5 linked regions of the Kluyveromyces lactis genome follow. The protein of the gene in region 1 purifies or fractionates together with the protein of each later gene. This does not show direct contact. Links are inferred from orthologs where the notes say so. Each region holds a gene or a part of one and is shown in the gene's direction. Other genes may lie near its edges.

What was found.
Region 2: the proteins of SPT7 (region 1) and SGF73 purify together in Saccharomyces cerevisiae (affinity purification with mass spectrometry; 17 studies listed by BioGRID, with this or other methods). This does not show direct contact. The link is inferred for Kluyveromyces lactis from reciprocal best matches to the Saccharomyces cerevisiae genes SPT7 and SGF73.
Region 3: the proteins of SPT7 (region 1) and TAF5 purify together in Saccharomyces cerevisiae (affinity purification with mass spectrometry; 25 studies listed by BioGRID, with this or other methods). This does not show direct contact. The link is inferred for Kluyveromyces lactis from reciprocal best matches to the Saccharomyces cerevisiae genes SPT7 and TAF5.
Region 4: the proteins of SPT7 (region 1) and GCN5 purify together in Saccharomyces cerevisiae (affinity purification with mass spectrometry; 28 studies listed by BioGRID, with this or other methods). This does not show direct contact. The link is inferred for Kluyveromyces lactis from reciprocal best matches to the Saccharomyces cerevisiae genes SPT7 and GCN5.
Region 5: the proteins of SPT7 (region 1) and SGF11 purify together in Saccharomyces cerevisiae (affinity purification with mass spectrometry; 11 studies listed by BioGRID, with this or other methods). This does not show direct contact. The link is inferred for Kluyveromyces lactis from reciprocal best matches to the Saccharomyces cerevisiae genes SPT7 and SGF11.

The regions. Positions count from the first base shown.
Region 1 is NC_006041.1:1,117,266-1,121,441, forward strand, and holds the start of SPT7 (SAGA histone acetyltransferase complex subunit SPT7), read left to right. Parts: upstream 1-1,376; coding exon 1,377-4,176. Other genes in the region: KLLA0_E12563g (uncharacterized protein), read left to right, coding at 77-476. UniProt on the Saccharomyces cerevisiae protein: Component of the transcription coactivator SAGA complex. SAGA acts as a general cofactor required for essentially all RNA polymerase II transcription. At the promoters, SAGA is required for transcription pre-initiation complex (PIC) recruitment.
Region 2 is NC_006038.1:213,584-217,558, reverse strand, and holds SGF73 (deubiquitination module subunit SGF73), read left to right. Parts: upstream 1-1,340; coding exon 1,341-2,816; downstream 2,817-3,975. Other genes in the region: PGC1 (phosphatidylglycerol phospholipase), read left to right, coding at 1-765; ALG2 (GDP-Man:Man(1)GlcNAc(2)-PP-dolichol alpha-1,3-mannosyltransferase), read right to left, coding at 2,933-3,975. UniProt on the Saccharomyces cerevisiae protein: Component of the transcription coactivator SAGA complex. SAGA acts as a general cofactor required for essentially all RNA polymerase II transcription. At the promoters, SAGA is required for transcription pre-initiation complex (PIC) recruitment.
Region 3 is NC_006041.1:2,086,809-2,091,514, forward strand, and holds TAF5 (chromatin modification protein), read left to right. Parts: upstream 1-1,707; coding exon 1,708-4,188; downstream 4,189-4,706. Other genes in the region: GPI2 (phosphatidylinositol N-acetylglucosaminyltransferase), read right to left, coding at 4,376-4,706. UniProt on the Saccharomyces cerevisiae protein: Functions as a component of both the DNA-binding general transcription initiation factor complex TFIID and the transcription coactivator SAGA complex.
Region 4 is NC_006037.1:454,956-458,978, reverse strand, and holds GCN5 (histone acetyltransferase GCN5), read left to right. Parts: upstream 1-1,972; coding exon 1,973-3,523; downstream 3,524-4,023. Other genes in the region: ATG7 (Atg7p), read left to right, coding at 1-1,539; PUP2 (proteasome core particle subunit alpha 5), read right to left, coding at 3,768-4,023. UniProt on the Saccharomyces cerevisiae protein: Histone acetyltransferase that acetylates histone H2B to form H2BK11ac and H2BK16ac, histone H3 to form H3K9ac, H3K14ac, H3K18ac, H3K23ac, H3K27ac and H3K36ac, with a lower preference histone H4 to form H4K8ac and H4K16ac, and contributes to H2A.Z acetylation.
Region 5 is NC_006040.1:996,939-999,807, forward strand, and holds SGF11 (SAGA histone acetyltransferase complex subunit SGF11), read left to right. Parts: upstream 1-1,731; coding exon 1,732-2,025; downstream 2,026-2,869. Other genes in the region: CTA1 (catalase A), read left to right, coding at 1-1,382; ubiquitin-protein ligase RMD5, read left to right, coding at 2,260-2,869. UniProt on the Saccharomyces cerevisiae protein: Component of the transcription coactivator SAGA complex. SAGA acts as a general cofactor required for essentially all RNA polymerase II transcription. At the promoters, SAGA is required for transcription pre-initiation complex (PIC) recruitment.

The DNA.
Region 1 (4,176 bases):
CTCTGTTAATCCCACTTTTTCTCTTTTACTAACATTCTATTGGAAAAAATCGCATTTCCCTCTTTTTTCCCTCCAGAGACCCCCCAACTTCATGCTCTGCTGGTCCAGTAGGTGATGATGTATATCACTGGCAAGCCTCTATCATGGGTCCTCCAGATTCCCCATATGCAGGCGGTGTTTTCTTCCTATCAATCCATTTCCCAACAGATTACCCCTTCAAACCACCAAAGATCTCTTTCACCACTAAGATCTACCACCCAAATATCAACGCTAATGGTAACATCTGTCTAGATATCCTAAAAGATCAATGGTCTCCAGCTTTAACTATCTCTAAGGTCTTGTTGTCCATTTGTTCTCTTCTAACAGACGCTAACCCTGATGATCCTTTGGTCCCTGAAATCGCTCATTTGTATAAGACCGATAGAGCTAAGTACGAGGCTACTGCTAGAGAATGGACTAAGAAGTATGCTATTTGAAAGAAATATAACAAAAAAAAAAGAAGAATGAACCGAAGAAAAGAATACTACAAAAGGACAGGGTTCGGCGGAAAGTAATATCATCTTAATCCGACTAAAAAAATACTCAAACCTTCCACCATTGTATATCCTACCCCTTTTTGTTATCGGTACTTTCAACTCACATCGTTTTGGACTTCTTCTGACACAATTCTCAACTTCAAGCTTTCAAGGTTTAAAGTATTAGAAAGAATAGTATATATATTAACGCACCAATTTTCTTTATATTATATTGTGTATGTGCTCATGGTACATGTAGGTATATATACCGTATAATTTTGATATATTTCATTTCCATTAGACGACTGTTTCCGACAGGTAAGCTAGAACCATTGGTTATAATTATACAAGATTTTTCAAGACTTTTCAAGACTGGTTTTTGTCCACAGACATTGGTTTCTGAATGTGCCAATTTGGTCACAATTATAGAAATGGAGAGACATACGCCTGATCATTCTAGCTAGTGAAAATCAATTTATCAATGCTTACCTAGGTACTAAAAACCTACCACAACTAGTCCTATATATATAGATACAACTGGGTAGAGCTGTTGGATACTCAACTCTTGTATGTTAAGGCTAAGCGCCGCTGAAACGAATAAGCCGTATGACTGTCCCAATATCACTTTATACGTTTTGATGTTTTTTGACATTTCGTGAATTTTGGAAAACACAGACAATCGGTGCAACTGATGGACAAACAAGATTCGGACCATACACTCAAAAGTCGTGCCGTTTACAGCTTGTATCAGTAAAACGAGAGGCAAGCGAGCTGGTAGTGAAGGAATTGATTCAGAATTTTCCTTCAAAACTACTCTTTATTTACTCTAGTGGTTCTTTCTGCGGAAAAAGTTGACTGTCCATGATTACAAGTTACCAGCGGTCCGATGCCGCCGCAATACTTCGAACCATCCAGAAGTTATTCGCAGATGATGTATTTAAAAAGCACCTCAATCCGAGTCAGTTACTTTTATTGAAGTACTTGTTGAGTCTACCAGACCAAGAATCAAAGACACTTATATGGGATGCGTTTCTCTCCGGCAAGTTGGAACTATTTGTAGAACTGAATACAACTCTTAATGCAACTTCCGACAAAGGTGCCACTAATGATTTGGTAGCGGCTACCAGATTACCATCATTATCAACACAACAACAACCTCAAGCTAGTTCTGGACTCTCGAGAACTGGCACTCCTTTACATGATTCGACTGATAACCAAAGTGTTGACGATGACGACAGTGATATGATCGATTTGGAACAATTGAAGGCCCAGCTAGATGGACTGGATTTTATAGGAAATTTATCTATGAAAGTCAGGTACGTTGTATGGGAACATGGACTCACTCTCCTTGAGCCAGAAACATCCTCAGAATACCTTCTACTTGACACGGATAATGATAGCGCTGTAATAGAGGATGGAAGTAATAATACTCTTATAGATCAAAGTGCGGTTCCCAACTCTTCCACGCTTCCTACAAATGACACAGCACCCTTGACTATGAAAGAAGTGAGCAAGAATAGCGAAAACAAAGAAGGCTCTGATGAAGATGATAACTATGATGAAGATGATGATGACGACGACGAGGATAATTACGATGATGCTGAAGAAGATCCTCAAAAGATAGAAAAAAATGATACAGAAAATGGAAAAATCTCTCATCCTAATGATCTTGATGAGAAACCCAAAGTGTCAGATGAAACTGAATCGCCAATTTACGAGCAACTTGATAACGGACTCATAAGACTGCATTTCATCATCTCAAAGGAAACTTTGAACGAACTTCCATCTGTAAATACCTACGATATCATCGGTAACTTTCACAAAATATATCATCTCTTTGACAATGATAAAGAGACCACTATGAGGCGTTTAAAACTTCAGGAAAATGATCAAATGCTAGAAAGCTCAAGGAAAAGGTCTCACGAACAGATTGAAGACGAAGAAGAGGATGACTCAGGGAACCCTAGCATATCTCATCATAAGTCTGCGGCAGATAAGAAGATCAATACTAAGACTAAAGCAGATATCCAAATGGACCTCGGTGTCGTAAATCTGTCATTAAGGCATTTGCTCAAATCGGTACAGGAAAATAAAAGTAAGCTAGATATTTCAGATTACGAACTTAAACATTTATTAATGGATGTTAGAATGAACAGATCTAAATGGGCTTCTGAAGATAAAATTGGACAAGAAGAATTATACGATGCATGCGAGAAGGTGGTACTGGAACTCAGAAATTTCACAGAGCATTCTACTGCATTTCTTAACAAAGTCAGCAAGAGAGAAGCTCCAAACTATTACCAAATAATTAAAAAACCAATGGATTTGAACACTGTGCTGAAGAAGCTCAAAACTTTTCAGTATAAATCTAAACATGAGTTTGTTGATGATATTATGTTAATATGGAGAAACTGCCTCACGTATAACTCGGATCCTAAGCATTTCTTGAGAGCCCATGCAATTGCGATGCAGAAGAAATCTCAACAACTAGTACCACTAATACCAGATATAACAATCCGTGATAGAGCGCAAGTTGAAAAAGAACTAGAAGATATAGACGCCGAGAGCAACATTAAAGACGATGAAGAGGATGCTGGTTCAGGTCGTAAGGGTATTCAGAGACGTGGTGTTCAAAAGGTTATTGACGATGAAGAAGAAGAAATGGAAGAGAACCATCCTGGAGGTAAAAAAACACGAGCAACTGATGCTGAACGGAATCAACAACAATCCACCAATAAAACAGTAAGCAGTGACAAAACACCTTCCACTAACGAAGCTGAACAAACGCCAGAAGTTGGCATAGTTTCTGCAGAGGGGAGAGGCTCCAAAGTGGCTCAATCTTCGACTAATAACGAATCTACTGAACCAGCAGTTGAAAGTAAAGCAGTGTCAACTGTTGAAAAAAACCAAGAACATGAGGATGCAGAAGAAGAGGAAGAGGAAGAGGATGAAGATGAAGAAGATAATGCCGCTGGAATGATGCTTCTTGAACGAGATGACGATAAGGACGATCTGGAATTGTCCACATGGAAAACACTTACAGCCAAAGCCCGTGCTGAAATTTGTTTGAAAAGATCACAATTGTTCAACGAACACAAAATTAATTCCGAATCTGATGCCCTCTTGAAAAATCCTTCTAAATTAAAGAATTTTGATCAGTTCTTCGAGGAGTATAAGCAACAGAAAGAAGCAGAATTTGCAAGACAAAAATTACAAGAACAGTCAATGATGAAAAACGGTTTTGGGGCAATAATGAACCAAGCAGATAGCAGTGTATCGAATTTTTCTGACACGAACGTTAAATCACAAGATGCCGAAAGTTCCTTGACTAAAGAATCGAATGAAATCACTCTCGAAGATTCTTCGTTATTGACAGAGTACAACATCACTAATTATATCCCGGACTTGGCATATACAGGTATTGGGAAAGAACAATTAGATAAAGCTGAGGAAGCTATGGTTCAAAAAATTATGAAGGAAGGAAAAGTAATGAAGAGCTCTTTGTTGAATACTGTCGATAAGGGGTTGAGTCCAAAAATGAACACGAATATCCAGTTGATACATGAGATTAGGCATATATGTCATAAAATTTCTTTGATTAGAGCACTACAAAATCCAAATAAACCCAAAAATTCACAACAACCGCTAAGGTTCAAAGAAT
Region 2 (3,975 bases), on another chromosome or scaffold:
GGTGAGACGAACTTGGATGAATTACTACTGTTGAAGAGTAAGATAAATCCAGAAATCAGGATAACGACATTCAAGGACGCCTTACAATGGTTAAAAGAACACCCTACAATGAAATTTATGTTGGATATCAAGCCTACAAATGATAAGGTTCTTTTAATCAAGGCGATTCTTGAAATGAGAGCAGTAGTCGATGATTTAGATTTCTGGAGGCAACGTTTGATGTTCGGATTGTGGCAACTTGATTGGTACAAATACGGGGTCACCACGGCCACACTGAAGGGTTTCAAGATCGTGGCCATCTTACCCTTCACAGCGATGGCTACTAAATTTGTCGAATACTCTAAATCCTTGAGCGATGACAACTACAAGTTGCATGGTGTCAGTCTTCATTTCATTAACTCTTGGAAACCCGATTTCAAGAAAACTGTATTACCATACTTGCAAGAAAACAACCTTGCCGTATACCTTTGGACCGTCAATTCCGAAATTGACATCAAATATATCAGTAGTATGACCATTACCGGGATTATCGTTGATGATCCGGTAGCTTCAGTGTCAATTCGAGATGAGTACATTCGGAAAGCAGTGCCGTTTGTACCGCCAATTTTCAATAGCTCTGAAGGTTTTAGACTATACCTTAGACTTCGGGTATTCGAAGTGGCTGAAAGGATCCTTAGCTCAAGATGGGCCACTGTCCCAGTATTCCATGATATCACCTTGTTGAAAGTAACCGTTTTATTGTTAAGAAGAATCCACTTCATTTAAATGTCATTTCATTTCGTAGACAATCTATATAACACACATACCATAGGAAGTTAATATCCTGAAATATGTTATATTTAGCTTGCAATTCGATTATCGACGGACCAATTGGTGTGTGGGGGATTGACACATTCCATTAAGTCATATCACGTGATTGTAAGAACTTTCAAGTTTCCCTTTCTGAAAGTCGACGATTTCGACAGGAATAACATACCGATGGACAGAAACATTTCATAAGATAATACATGAATTCAGATGCTTGAAAGTATTTAGAGCGGGTGATCCAAAGATTTTAAAAGGCTTTTGAGATAGTTCTAACGTGTTATTTACCTGCCACAAAAGTTACTTTTGTACAATCAATATTGAGGGCTCACTTCATACCAGATTCTTTTTTTTTAACGTGCTATTTTTACCATAGTTAGGCACCAATTTGCATTACCACCGATAGACTCTGGTTTATTTTTGAAAGCTAGGTAAGGACAGTTTGATCATTGTTAGCTTGTCTCAATTCATTCATCATTTCCATCGTAATTCTCCCTATCATTTTTTTTTTACCTGGCTGATTTTGGTACAAGAGCATGTCAAGTGTCAATATAGAGATTAAAGGAATCAGATCAGACATTCAATTAGAAGATTTAGGAAGTAGCAAGAACGGTTGGAAGGAGTTACTGTCTATTGTTAAGAATAACGGGAATAGTTCGGATTTATCATCCACGGATATTCGTTCAAAATACTTGAGCAGGCCGTCAGAAGTTTTATCTGGCGTTTCTAAAGAGGATATCCGTTATAGGAATTGTACAGCTTGCCACCAGCCGGTATTGGTGTCAGCTATTATAGATCATTTAGAGAATCACTGTATTGATAAAATGCCTGTGAAAAAGAATGAGACGCAGGATATCATGTCTTCTCCTGCTAAAAGTAAGGGGAGTAATAAGAGATCCTCGTCGATAGATCCTGAGAATTTCGATTCACCTTCAAAGAAACAGAAATCATCCACTCCTTCTGGATCGACTAGAAAACAAAGGAAGATAAAACAGCGAAACCCGACAGAGCCACATCTGGTTAACTTCGATAAACAGTGTGGTGTACCATTACCTGAAGGTGGTGTTTGCGGTAGATCATTAACATGTAAATCGCACTCAATGGGAGCGAAACGTGCAGTGGAGGGACGGTCACAGCCATTTGACATATTATTAGCTGATTATCAGAAACGCAACCAGTTGAAATCTTCGGCGTCCAAGACTAGAATCCAAAAGGCACAGCAAAATCAGCAGGATCCACAAGTTAAACAAAAGGGGAAAGATAAAAACACTGGGAAAACCAGCAGCAATGAAGTGGTCAATGAGTCATTACCCAAATTGTCCCCTGAAGAAGAGACTACTCTGGTTTTGAACGGTGTTTCACGTTCATACCCACTACCGTTAGAAACTACGGTATTGACTTCTACACGATCAAGAACCAAGTACGTCAGAATGAGAGAAATGTTTGGGTCTGCTTTCAGTATAAAACCAGGCTTTAAGAGCCCTGGAGTTGGTGCGTTCCGCTCAAGGGTCGGTCTTATTGACATTGATAGAACGACTGATTATACGTTCCGTATACGTACGCCTCAACCTATTAACGCATCACCTCAAAACTTGACACCAGAACAGCTTCAAATATTACAGGCCCAACGTTTGAAACAACAACAGCAGCAGCAGCAGCAACAACAGCAACAACAACAGCGGCAACGACAATCTAGTGCTACCGGATCGTTATCTCAAATGCAAATGCAAATTCCACAGTCAGTTCAGGCTGGAAAACCTGCAGGGCAACAACCCATGATGACCCAGGGCATCACCCCTCGGGATATTCAAACTCAACAGCTAATAATGCAACAACAGCAACAGAAACTCCTGCAGAAGAAAAGAATGGAAGACGCCAGTGCTCAACTAGATACGGCTTCTAAGTTGATGCAGCAAACAATAGGCTCACCGGTTAATACTCAAAGTCGAAGCAATTCAAATCAACCTGGTGTTCAATTTGGTGTAAATGGATATGGAGGAAGAGTTAATTAGTGTAATATTTAGAAACTTAATAGCTTGTTAACGTCTGTTTTTCATCTCTTAACTTTGAGGGGTATGTGTATATATTTTGCACAAGTCGTTATAATAAATTAAGATTGGCTTCGCTTTTAAGTTGAATAGTTTAGGTAACAGAAAACGATGATCCAGTACACAGTGGCCTTTACACTTCTTAATACAAAATAAGAAATCGCAGCTAGCAATAAATATGGCCAAGAAGCATCGCCTGTTATCAACAGTGTAGCATATTGGACAGTGAACATCAGTAGCCCTGGAGCTAATGTGCTCCATAAACGCGTTCCTCTTGACTTCCAAATAATATGGTCGATGGTATTATCAAAGTTTTTGGACATCGCTTCTCTGGAGAAATAGTACTTAATACGTTTAGGACCGTTAACTTCGAATAAGGAGTGATTCTTTTCAAATATGTCTACGGATTGATCCAACACTTTTGACCATTCATCAGCATCGGATGGTCGTAACCAACCAGTTGCATCAATATGAGAAGGTGTCTCATTGTAATCTACCACTGTTTCTAGTGGACCACCCGTATCTACTGCCAAAACAGGTACACCATACTTCATAGCCTCGAGTGGTACAATTCCAAAGTGTTCGTTAGAAGGAGTGTATAGCAACATTTCAGTACTTTGCAATAGTAATTCCTTGAGAGACGATGACACAGAAGTCAAAAACAATATTTGAGCATCAGCGAAGTTACTTGATGGACACTTGTCAGGACTCTTGGAGTATTCTGGATATGAAAGATGAACGTGCTTCAATTTCAATTCAGTGGCCAAAGTTTCCAATTCTTTTAGATAGTCGATATTCTCGGAATTATTCAAATCGTAACCTCCAGATATAAATAGTTTATGGGAGGTACGTTGTTTTGATTGTGCAAAAGCAGTGATAGCCAATTCAATGTTTTTTTTCCTTTCGTATCTGTTGATAGATAGATAATACTTTTCATTGTTCTTCAAGATCTTCTTCATAAGATCTTTATCTAAAGGAAGTATTTCTTCTTGCTCTACGTTTACACAAGGGTAAACCACTTTAGGGTCAACGGCTAGTGACTGGAACGTTTTGGCAAATACCTGCTTTGTAAAATTAGAATTAACTAGAATAGTATCTGCTACACCCATGGTAAATTGTTCCA
Region 3 (4,706 bases), about 970 kb from region 1:
ACGAAAATCCAAATAACAAATAACAAACAATGAAAATGTAAACCAAACTTAAACCGGATTAATTTTCCCCTAACGTGGAATTTAAAATGTCAAACGAAATCACCAACCGTTAATCGAACTTCCTTTATATGATTGTTAAAGGTAAAAGCGGAAGTGACAACACGAACCGAAACAAGAAAAAAAAAGTGGTATCCTTAAGTCAATTGTACAGAAAACCTGGGGCAAACACTCCTTTGACTCGAGCACAACGTCCCACCCGTTCCCTGGAAACGCGAAGGGAAGGATTACCTAATGGTTCTGAAACAGTAAGAAAGCTTCAAAACTCAGAATGGTTTCAAACTAAAAGCTGATTCCAGCTTCCGGAAAGATATCAAAAGGGAAAGAAAACAGAGAAAAGAAAAAAGGACGGCGATAATTGGTTTGCCAAACTTGTTTAGATCAAATCTTCCACTGGAATGCCTCGTCCAATGTCTTTCTCACCGCTGACTCTGTATCTTCCTGGTTGCCTTTGTTCACCGAAATTGAATAAGCAGGAAAAAATACCCTGATTTCTGCACTAGAAACAAACGCTTTTTTGGCAAATCTAAATCGACGTACAATAGGAAAGATTATCCTACTCACAGACCTACTGATTCACTCACGCAGTGACTCAACGGCGTATGGCTTTTCTATAGAAGAAGCAGCTGGCGTTTTAGAACGGTTTGCTAGTGTATCTGATGGGCCTTGCGATGAGATGGAGCAACGTTTGACGATGGAAAGACAAGTATCAGAACTGAGAAGAAGGCGAATTCCTTTAATTTTCCAACTTTCGTGCTTGAATTCTTGTTTTTTTTCCCAACTTCACCGTTTCATTGCTGTTCAACTTCGTCTCCTGACATTAGTGGAACCCCAATGGGATTATTTTTACATGAACCGGGTAACGAAATAGTAAAATAAGGGCAACGTGACTTATAATTTCTGTTATATTACAGACGCGGCACGCATTACCTCCAATTGCCACGTCAAATGAAGGTACCCCCGTAGTATGTACATTGGTAACTGGCATCCCGCAAAATAAGCATCCCTTCTTTGGAAGTTGAAAAACACGAATCCAGATCCAATTACTGGACTCCTACCCCTGGATGGAAAAACGAAAAGGAAGTCATTTGTGGGGGGTATGGCTTTGGCATCGTGAAATAGGGATCTTCATTTACCCACCCAAGGCCACTGCAAAATTCCCGACCCTTTAAAGCCTCTCCCCACTGTTTCTCTGTACACATATATTTTATACTGGGTTCTCTAGATATGTAGCTTAACTGCGTTCTGCGAGTAAAAATTAAAATAAAGTTCGAATCGAAGTCTAAAAACGTGCTGTGGACTCCGGGGCTGTTCAACCTGTTACCCGGAGATGTACTGAAAAGATAATTCTTGAATCCGTAAAACGTGACCTTTAATTCAGATCTCTAAATGCCAGTTACTTTGTGTCTGAGAGTAGTTTCCAGGTTGAAAGTTGAATATGGAAAAAAATAAAACTGAAAAATGTGAATGAATAAGTAAACAAATAAACAGCAAATGATTGCTAAATCATTGCCTTAGCAAGCTTGAACTATACCAGTACTTGAGCTTAGGAGTAAGCTGAATAAGGAACTAGGTATACTTGCTTAGCCTTTTAAAAAAAAAAAGCGTGAAAGAGAAGAACCTCTTAGCACAGTTTCCGGCTTGCTTAATATGTCTTCGAACGGCAAACAACAGGGAAACAAGGCAGGCGATGCAGCTGGGGGAGCGTCAGGAGCCACGGCTCCCGGTGCAGGCGGAAGTAGTGGCAATGGAAATAGTAGTGCGGCCGGAAATGCTAGCGCTAATGCCAATGCTGGCGGTAGCGGTGCCAGTGGGAATGCACCGGCAGCTTCTAAACCGGGGTTTTCAGCGTCAGATTTGAACCGCATCGTTTTGGAATATTTGAATAAGAAGGGGTATCACAGAACGGAACAGATGCTTCGTGCTGAATCGTCACGTACTTTGACGCCTCCAAATAAAAACGCTGCTGCTTCTAACACAATCCCTGCCTCGTCTGCATCAGCCACTGCGATTACAGGAAGTACTACCACTGCAAAACCTGTTTCAAATCCTTCGATGCCCTTGAAAAGAGATAACAACGGCCAATTGATAAAACCGCAACAGGTGACACCCTTGCACTATTTTAGAGCTTACTCAATGTTGAAAAATTGGATCGATTCGTCTTTAGAATTGTACAAACCTGAGCTATCACGTATCATATACCCGATTTTCATTTACGTTTTTTTACAGTTGGTCATCAAGGACCCCTTACAAGCGAGAAGATTCTTTGACAAGTATTCTGTCGATTACAAAGCCCTTCATGGATCAGAAATTAACCGATTATTCAGTGTCAACTCAGTAGATCACATCAAGGAAAATGAGTTGGCTCAAGGTTTCCAAACCAATAAATATAAGATCACAATCTCAAGAACTACTTTGAACCTTTTGTTGTATTTCTTGAACGAAAACGAAAGTGTGGGAGGATCTTTGTTGATTTCCATCATAAACCAAAACTTGGATCCAAATATCGTAGATGTTGTCAAATCTGAGGATATTCTCACCGACGGGATCAAAGATATCTCAACCGGTGATATTGATGTTGATACGTATAACTCGGTACCTGTGAAGTTAGGACCGTATCCAAAGGACGAAGAGTTCACCAAGGAAGTAGAGATTGAGTTGCAGAAAAAAGATGAACAAGAGGCAGCTGAGAATAAGGATAAACCTGTCGGTAAGACATTAGTTGAGGAATATAGAGAAATGAACGGTAATCAGAACAAACCAGAGGGCACTGAAAAAGCTGATGATAACACCGTTAAGGAAGAAAATGAAAATAAGGAACCTGAAGCTGAAGAGGGTGGAGAAGAAGTCGATGCAACAGCAGATACAGAAGAGAAAGGCACTCCTACACTTAGTGTCGAATCATCGGCTGCTGAAAGAAAGAAAAGAGACTCAAAGAATAAAGACGAGGAAGAAAAACCAGAGGCTTCAATTGGATCTATGATGGAATCACCAGCAAAGGATTCGTTGCCGCTACCGGTAAAAACAACTTTAGATCTAAAGATGGAAATTCAAAAAGTAAGGGAGAGTAGAGATTCCATCCAATTGAAAAACCTACAAACTTCTGCACCAAGTGTGTGTATGTACACTTTCCACAACACTAATGGTAATATGACTTGCGTAGAATTTAGTGATGATGCTAGACTAACTGCAGCTGGTTTCCAAGACAGTACAATTAAGGTATGGTACCTTGATGGATCACCGCTACAGTCGATCCTCCCATCCAAAGCTAAAGACCAATCGAACTCTGCTACTTTGGTAGGACACAGCGGACCAGTTTATTCCGTTGCATTCAGCCCGGATAACAGGTACTTACTTAGCGCATCTGAAGATAAAACTGTCAGACTTTGGTCTTTAGATACGTTCACTTGCCTAGTGTGTTACAAAGGCCATAACCATCCAGTATGGTACGTCAAGTTTTCTCCACTTGGCCATTATTTCATCACCGCTTCACATGATCAAACGGCTAGACTATGGTCTTGTGATCATATCTATCCGTTGAGAATTTTCTCAGGTCATCTAAATGACGTGGATTGTAGCACTTTCCATCCAAATGGTTGCTATGTTTTCACTGGTTCCAGCGACAAAACGTGCCGTATGTGGGATATTCAAACAGGTGATTCTGTTAGACTGTTTTTGGGACATACATCACCAGTCACCGCACTTGAAGTATCGCCTGACGGTAGGTGGTTAACTACGGGCAGTGAGGATGGCACAATTATCGTATGGGATATTGGTACTGGTAAAAGAATCAAACAGATGAAGGGTCACGGTAAGAATCCTATCTATTCCATAACTTTTAACAAAGAAGGTAACTGTCTAGTAACAGGTGGTGCGGATCAAAGTGTTAGAGTTTGGGATATAAAGAGGTTTACAAACGAGCCTGGAATGGAGCCGGAACAACAATTCAACACGTATTCAGGAGATATGGAACTCAGTGTAAATAACGATATCAAAGAATTCGGACGTAGGCGGGCAGTAATACCAACTCAGGATTTGATGGCTTCGTTCCATACAAAGAAAACAGCAATTCACAAAGTAAAATTCACAAGAACGAACCTAGTTTTGGCTGGTGGTGCATTTATTGAGTAAATGCGATTACTTTACTCAGCCAGATAAGGGTCGTTTATTCGACATATCTAGTAGTTGTCCAATTGTAATAAATAAAAAAAAAGAGAATGCGCTTTATCTTTATATTATTTACAATGAGTACGTATATTTTATGTGCATTGATATCAATGCAGTCAATGAAATGTAAATGTTAACAGAATCCTAATAACTAATCTAATATTGGTTTTTCAGCGTCCCACTGCTGTAAAATCGGATGTCCTTTATAATAGTAGCTTTCCCAGTGGATATAGTAATGAGGGATTCCAAATAATAGTAACAAAGATGATATTCCCAAAGGTATCGTGATCCCGACACCCATTAACTTCGTTATAAAATAGTAGACTGTACCATGTGTCGCAATAACACATAGTATATGCAGGAATTTCAACTTATTCTTTATGAAATACTTTTCCATCGTCGGCAGTAGAATGTTAATTTGGATACATATCAAAAGGAAACAGAAAACTTGGGTGGAGGTATCTAATCTTGAAGAAAGTACG
Region 4 (4,023 bases), on another chromosome or scaffold:
AAAGTAAAGTTTATCAAGGAAAAGGGACAGCAATTACTAGAACAGGGCCTCAAGAATGGTCTCAAAGAGTGTGTTAGGTTTTATGTCATAAGCTTCGCCGATTTGAAGAAATATAAGTTTTATTATTGGGTTTGTATGCCTACTTTCCAGTCTGAGGGGTCATCGTACGAAATAATCTCAACAAAATCAATCGAAGATGGTGTAAAGAAGGATATATGGGAGCAGAACAGCTTTATCTCCTGTGTTGTGGATGGAAAGATTCAGGAAGCATCACCTCAGTATCTCAAAGTATGTCAGAAAGTCATCTTCAAGGACTTCAGTCGGCTGAAGGGCATTCCTGCCGCAGTTACTAAGAACTTTCTAACGGTTTGGAGTCAAATATCCACAAGGAATACGTACACCATATGTTTCCTTCGTGATGATAATTCCAGCTTCGCGGCAGAGATCAGAGTTACCGGGAGCAATACAGGATGTCTTAAGGTCAGCGGTTGGGAGAAAAATGGTCTTGGAAAATTAGCTCCGAAATCGGCTGACTTAAGCTCATTGATGGATCCCGTGAAGATAGCAGAACAATCCATTGATCTCAATCTCAAGCTAATGAAATGGAGGATTGCTCCTGACATTGATCTAGAAAGAATAAAGAACATTAAAGCATTGATCTTGGGGTCAGGTACCCTAGGTTGCTACGTGGCTAGAGCTTTATTAGCTTGGGGTACTCGTCATGTAACTTTTGTCGACAACAGCACTGTCTCTTTCTCTAATCCGGTAAGGCAACCATTATTCAACTTTGAAGATTGTGGGCGACCAAAGGCCGAAGCTGCCAGTGACTCTCTGAAGAAGATATTTCCTTCTGTCGTTTCTGCAGGTTATCAATTGGAAATACCAATGATAGGACATCCTGTATCGAACGAAAGCAAGCAGAGGAAGGATTATGAAATTTTGGACGAGCTTATAAGGACGCATGATGTTATATTTCTTTTAATGGATGCACGCGAGACGAGATGGCTTCCCTCGGTGCTTGGACGAATGCATGAAAAAATAGTTATTAATGCGGCCCTTGGTTTTGACAGTTATTTGGTAATGAGACATGGCAACAATAATGACAACCTGGGTTGCTATTTCTGTAACGATATCGTGGCCCCAAGTGATTCTCTAACTGACAGAACATTAGATCAGATGTGTACTGTAACTAGACCGGGTGTTGCCCTATTAGCGGCTTCCCAGGCTGTTGAATTATTGGTGACATATCTTCAGCCTTCGACGAACGTGCTTGGGTCAGCTCCGCATCAAATACGAGGATTTCTAAATGAATTTAAAACTGTAAAACTTGAAACACCGGCATATCAGCACTGTTGTGCAAGCAATGAAAATGTCATTTTAACTCTAAAGGAAAACGGATGGAATTTCGTGAAACAGGCGCTAGATGATTATAAGTGTGTGGAGCAATTAAGTGGACTGTCGAAGGTGCAAGAGGAGGCTGAATTGGCAATTCAAGAAGATATTTCCTTTGATGACGACGAGGAATTGTCAATAGAGTGAAGTATAGCCAGTGCATCTGACAGGCTGATGCGTGGAATGATGTGACATGCATTCCTTTTGTGATGAAGCGTAGAAATCGATATTCGTCGTTAGGAAAAGGTGTTTATCTCTGATTTAACGGTCAGGATGAAATTTAGTTTTATAATTCCCAAGATAAATATAAGTCTTGCACAATTTGCAGCGTATTACGCCATGACGGGCTTGGTACACCTACATAACTGGGCCTTTTTCCGTGATCCATCAGCTTATACCAGGCATGTTTTAGATGTAGACTAAACTCGTTATCCGACTGTGGTGTACGGATGTATAAATCAACTTGAAAAATTACCAAAGCATACAAGAACGGGAATATATATTAGGTCGAGTAGACAGGATAAATAGTCACACGTAGACAAGATAAATAGTCACACGTAGACAAGAAGCTAAGCACCAAATGCCACCGAAGAGACGCCACCATGGTGCTGGAAGAGTCCAGAATAAGAGGGGAAAAGTTGACACTGTAAAAGAGGAAATCAAACCCAAAGATGAGCCTGTGGAAACTGAAATCGATGGCGGATCTGCAGTTGATGAAGATGTTACCGATGATTTAGAACACAAGACGAGCAAGGAAGACCAGAAGGAAGACCAGAAGGAAGAGGACGGACCTATAGATGCACAGAACGGAACTTCTGAAACAAAAGTTGCGGGGGAATCCGTAAAAACAGTGGAAGACAAAATCGAATCAGTTACAACGAATGAAGAGGTCGTTGAATCACCAGTCAATGACTACAATGCCAGTAGTACAACTACCAAGGCTGAAGAGAAACAATTAGAGGAAGAAGCAAATGAAAAGACGGATACATCTCCTATAGTTGAAAATGAGGTCGTTGATGAAGAGGCCGGCACAACAAAATTTGACTTTGATGGTCAAGAATACAGTTATAAAGACAGACCTAGTGTAATAGAAGAGAAGGAAGGAAAGATTGAATTCAGAGTGGTTAATAATGATAATAGCAAGGAAAATATGATGGTTTTAACAGGGTTAAAGAATATCTTTCAAAAGCAATTGCCTAAGATGCCCAAAGAATATATTGCTCGTTTAGTTTACGATCGTTCACATCTTTCTATGGCCGTGGTACGGAAACCGTTGACTGTTGTTGGTGGAATAACCTATAGACCTTTTGATAAAAGAGAGTTCGCAGAAATTGTCTTCTGTGCTATTAGTTCGACCGAACAAGTCAGAGGTTACGGTGCACATTTAATGAATCATTTAAAAGATTACGTGAGGGCAACATCGCCAATAAAGTATTTTCTAACATATGCGGATAATTATGCTATCGGGTATTTCAAGAAGCAGGGATTCACGAAAGAGATCACATTGGACAAGAATGTCTGGATGGGATACATAAAGGATTATGAAGGTGGTACCTTAATGCAATGTTCCATGCTGCCAAGAATCCGGTATCTTGATGCAGCAAAAATCCTCTTATTGCAAGAAGCAGCAATTAGAAGGAAAATTCGTAGCATTTCTCAATCTCACATAGTTCGTCCAGGTTTGAAACAGTTCTTGGATCTTGATAATATAAAACCCATCGATCCAATGACAATACCTGGTTTAAAAGAAGCTGGCTGGACTCCAGAAATGGACGAACTGGCGCAGAGACCAAAACGTGGCCCTCATTATGCAGCAATGCAAAATCTTCTCACCGAATTGCAAAATCATGCAGCGGCATGGCCCTTTTTGCAACCCGTCAATAAGGAAGAAGTCCCCGACTATTACGAATTTATTAAGGAACCAATGGATTTGAGTTCTATGGAAATGAAACTAAACGGGAACAGATACGAAAAGATGGAAAATTTCATATATGATGCAAGGTTAATATTTAACAATTGTCGTGCGTACAACGGTGAAAACACATCTTATTTCAAGTACGCAAATCGTCTAGAAAAATTCTTCAATTCTAAAGTCAAAGAGATTCCAGAGTATTCACATCTTGTGGATTAATACTAACGATAATGAAATACTAATTTGTCGATATCTTTGCGTACCTGAACAGTCTACATGGCGAAAGTTGGCACATATATATATGATATGTATAAATATACATATACCGAAAGTGTAACATTAAAAGGCTCAGAAGGAGCTCCTGTATGTATACAAGCAATCCATGATTAGAGAAATAATGAAATTTTATAATCGATTTTCTGTTGATTAATAACGTGTTTCGAAAGACAAGGAGTGTAATCTATCACTCCATTTCGACATCCGAATGTTCGGACCCAGGAGGCTTCTCCTCCTTTTCCTTTTCCTTTAACTCTTTTATAATTTCAGCAGTTTTCTCATCTGAATAGATTTGAAATCCCTCTTTTGTGATACTGCTCAATTGTGCATTATTTTCATCTAATTTCTCTTCCATTACTTGCTTTAAGATCTTTAACACCAGCGATTCCGCCTCTTTCAAAGTAAGCGATGAATGCCATTCGTTTTGTAATTCTGATTGTGCA
Region 5 (2,869 bases), on another chromosome or scaffold:
ATTTCAACAGAGAACGGATTCCAGAACGTAACCCTCATGCTCATGGATCAGGTGCGTTTGGGTACTTAGAAATTACAGATGATATCACGGACGTGTGCGGTTCAGCGATGTTCGATACCGTGGGGAAGAGAACGCGATGCCTTGTTAGATTTAGTACTGTTGGTGGTGAGAAGGGTTCTGCCGATACGGCACGTGACCCAAGAGGGTTCGCTATCAAGTTCTATAGTGAAGAAGGGAATGTCGACTGGGTCAACAACAACACGCCAGTCTTCTTCATCAGAGATCCTTCTAAGTTCCCACATTTCATTCATACTCAAAAGAGAAACCCAGAAACCAATATGAAGGATGCTGACATGTTTTGGGACTTTTTGACGACAGAGGAGAATCAAGTCGCAATTCATCAAGTGATGATCTTGTTCTCCGATCGTGGTACTCCAGCTTCTTATCGTAACATGAACAGTTACTCGGGTCATACTTACAAATGGTCTAACAAGCAAGGTGAATGGCGCTACGTGCAAGTGCATTTGAAGACAGATCAAGGTATTAAGAACTTGAACAACGAGGAGGCGACTAAGTTGGCTGGTGAAAACCCTGACTACTGTCAAAAGGATTTGTTTGAAAACATCGCCAAGGGTAATTACCCATCTTGGACCCTTTACATTCAAACTATGACCGAAGAAGAGGCAGAAAAATTGCCATTCTCTGTATTCGATCTAACAAAAGTTTGGCCTCATAAGCAGTTCCCATTGCGTCGTGTAGGTAAGATGGTTTTGAATGAAAATCCAGAAAATTACTTCGCTCAAGTGGAACAGGCTGCATTCTCCCCATCGCACACCGTCCCATACCAAGAAGCTTCTGCTGACCCTGTCTTACAAGCACGTTTGTTCTCTTATCCAGATGCCCATCGTTACAGATTAGGCCCTAACTATTCTCAAATCCCTGTTAATTGTCCATATGCATCGAAGGTTTTCAACCCAGCTATCAGAGATGGCCCAATGAACGTTAACGGCAATTTGGGCAAAGAGCCAAACTATTTGTCTACTTCTAAGAAGTACCAATTCATTCAACAATCAAAGCCAATTCAACAACATCAAGAAGTATGGTCTGGGCCTGCAATGCCTGTACATTGGGCAACCTCACCAGGAGACATCGATTTCGTTCAAGCCAGAGACTTGTATAACAAAGTGTTGAGCAAACAGCCAGGTCAACAAAAGGCATTGGCCCACAATGTCGCAGTACACGTAGCAAGTGCATGCCCTGAAATCCAAGACCGTGTATTTGCCATGTTTGCAAGAGTCGACCGTGGTCTATCTGAAAACATCAAAAAGGAAGCTCTGAGCTTATCCCCAAGAAAGGCTGCTGCATTGAATGCAAAGTTATAGAGAGAATTAGCTGTGCTTTCTTTCTCTCTCTCTATCTCTTTCCGCTTTGTATGTACGTTTTATTTATCCCCATATTTATTACAAGTATACTATTAATATCTGTCCGTAATGAGATGCATGGTATCAGGCATTGTAGCCGCTAACATGTCGACTGTTGTCTCTTGTATTCTGCTTGTATTCCCTGTGCTTATCGTCAATTTTCTGCAATATCCAATTTTAATAGAAAAGCAAGGTCAAATTAGCTTACTTTGATATTGAAACAATCAATTCTGTTCTACGATCAGACATAAGACAACAGTACTGACTTGACTTATTCAGTATTTGCAACTATCAAGAGGTGGCTGTAACCATGACTGCTTCTTTGACCACAGATTCGGTTGCCGATTCCATATATCAGAACATTCTTACTTCTATCATCCAAGATATCATCTCGCGTCAAACAGTGAAGAGAAAGCTTCTGAAACTGCAATTCCCGGATGCTAAACCGTATTACGCTGACCCGTCAGGAACATTGGATATACACGGTAAGGCAAAGCAAGCAGACTCCGCCGTTTACATCGAATGTAATGTCTGTGGACGGGAAGTTAGTGGGAACAGGTTCGCTGCTCATCTCGTTAGATGCTTATCACGTGGTAGAAGGTGAGATTTCATTACCCAGCCTTAGTGCAGCCTTAAATCTTCCCCCAAACCCATAATGTGTGTCATTTCAAATCAAGTTGTCCAGCATCGTACCCTGTACCCTTAAACCTGTGATAACGATCTTTAACCCATCATTATAACGGTGTAAAGAGTTGTCAGGTGTTACTCTACAGAAGAGCGGAAAGTTAGAGACACTAGAACTAGCAAGTACCCTTCAGAGAATTAAACTGAGTTACTTATGTCGACTTTGCTAGAGACTTTAGATCAACAATGGGTCAATTCCAGATTATACGTTGATAAAGACGAGCGCAGGACCCAGCTTGGGAAATGTGTTGAAGAAGTGCACGACTTTAAGATCCAGTTGAAGAAATTGAAAGCGCATTTGCTGAAGCATGGATCAAGTCCACAGAAACGTCTTGTTATTAGGGAGAAACTAGCGAAATCTCATAAGAACTGGGATTCTTCCATGAAGAAATCCTTAAACTCTTCTATCAGCACTTACCGGAAGTTTTCAAAGGCGTGCGTCAAGCCCTTGAATGAGTTTCAATTGGATTCTGTTTATGTGAACAAGATAAACCCTCAGAAATTGTACTATTTGGATACGGCGATCTTTTCTCACATCGCAAGGTATTATACTAATATGGCTGTAGGAACCACGTCAGATGAAATGCTGAAGTATTTGCACTCTACGTATAGGATCCCCAGATCTATTGCAATGGATTATATAGAAATGGCCAACATTGTTAAAGAAATGAGATCAGGCAACTTGAATACCTGTATCCGATGGTGTCAGGATAATAACCTGGAAGTACTTCATTTCCAATTACATTACCTAAACGCGATGTCAT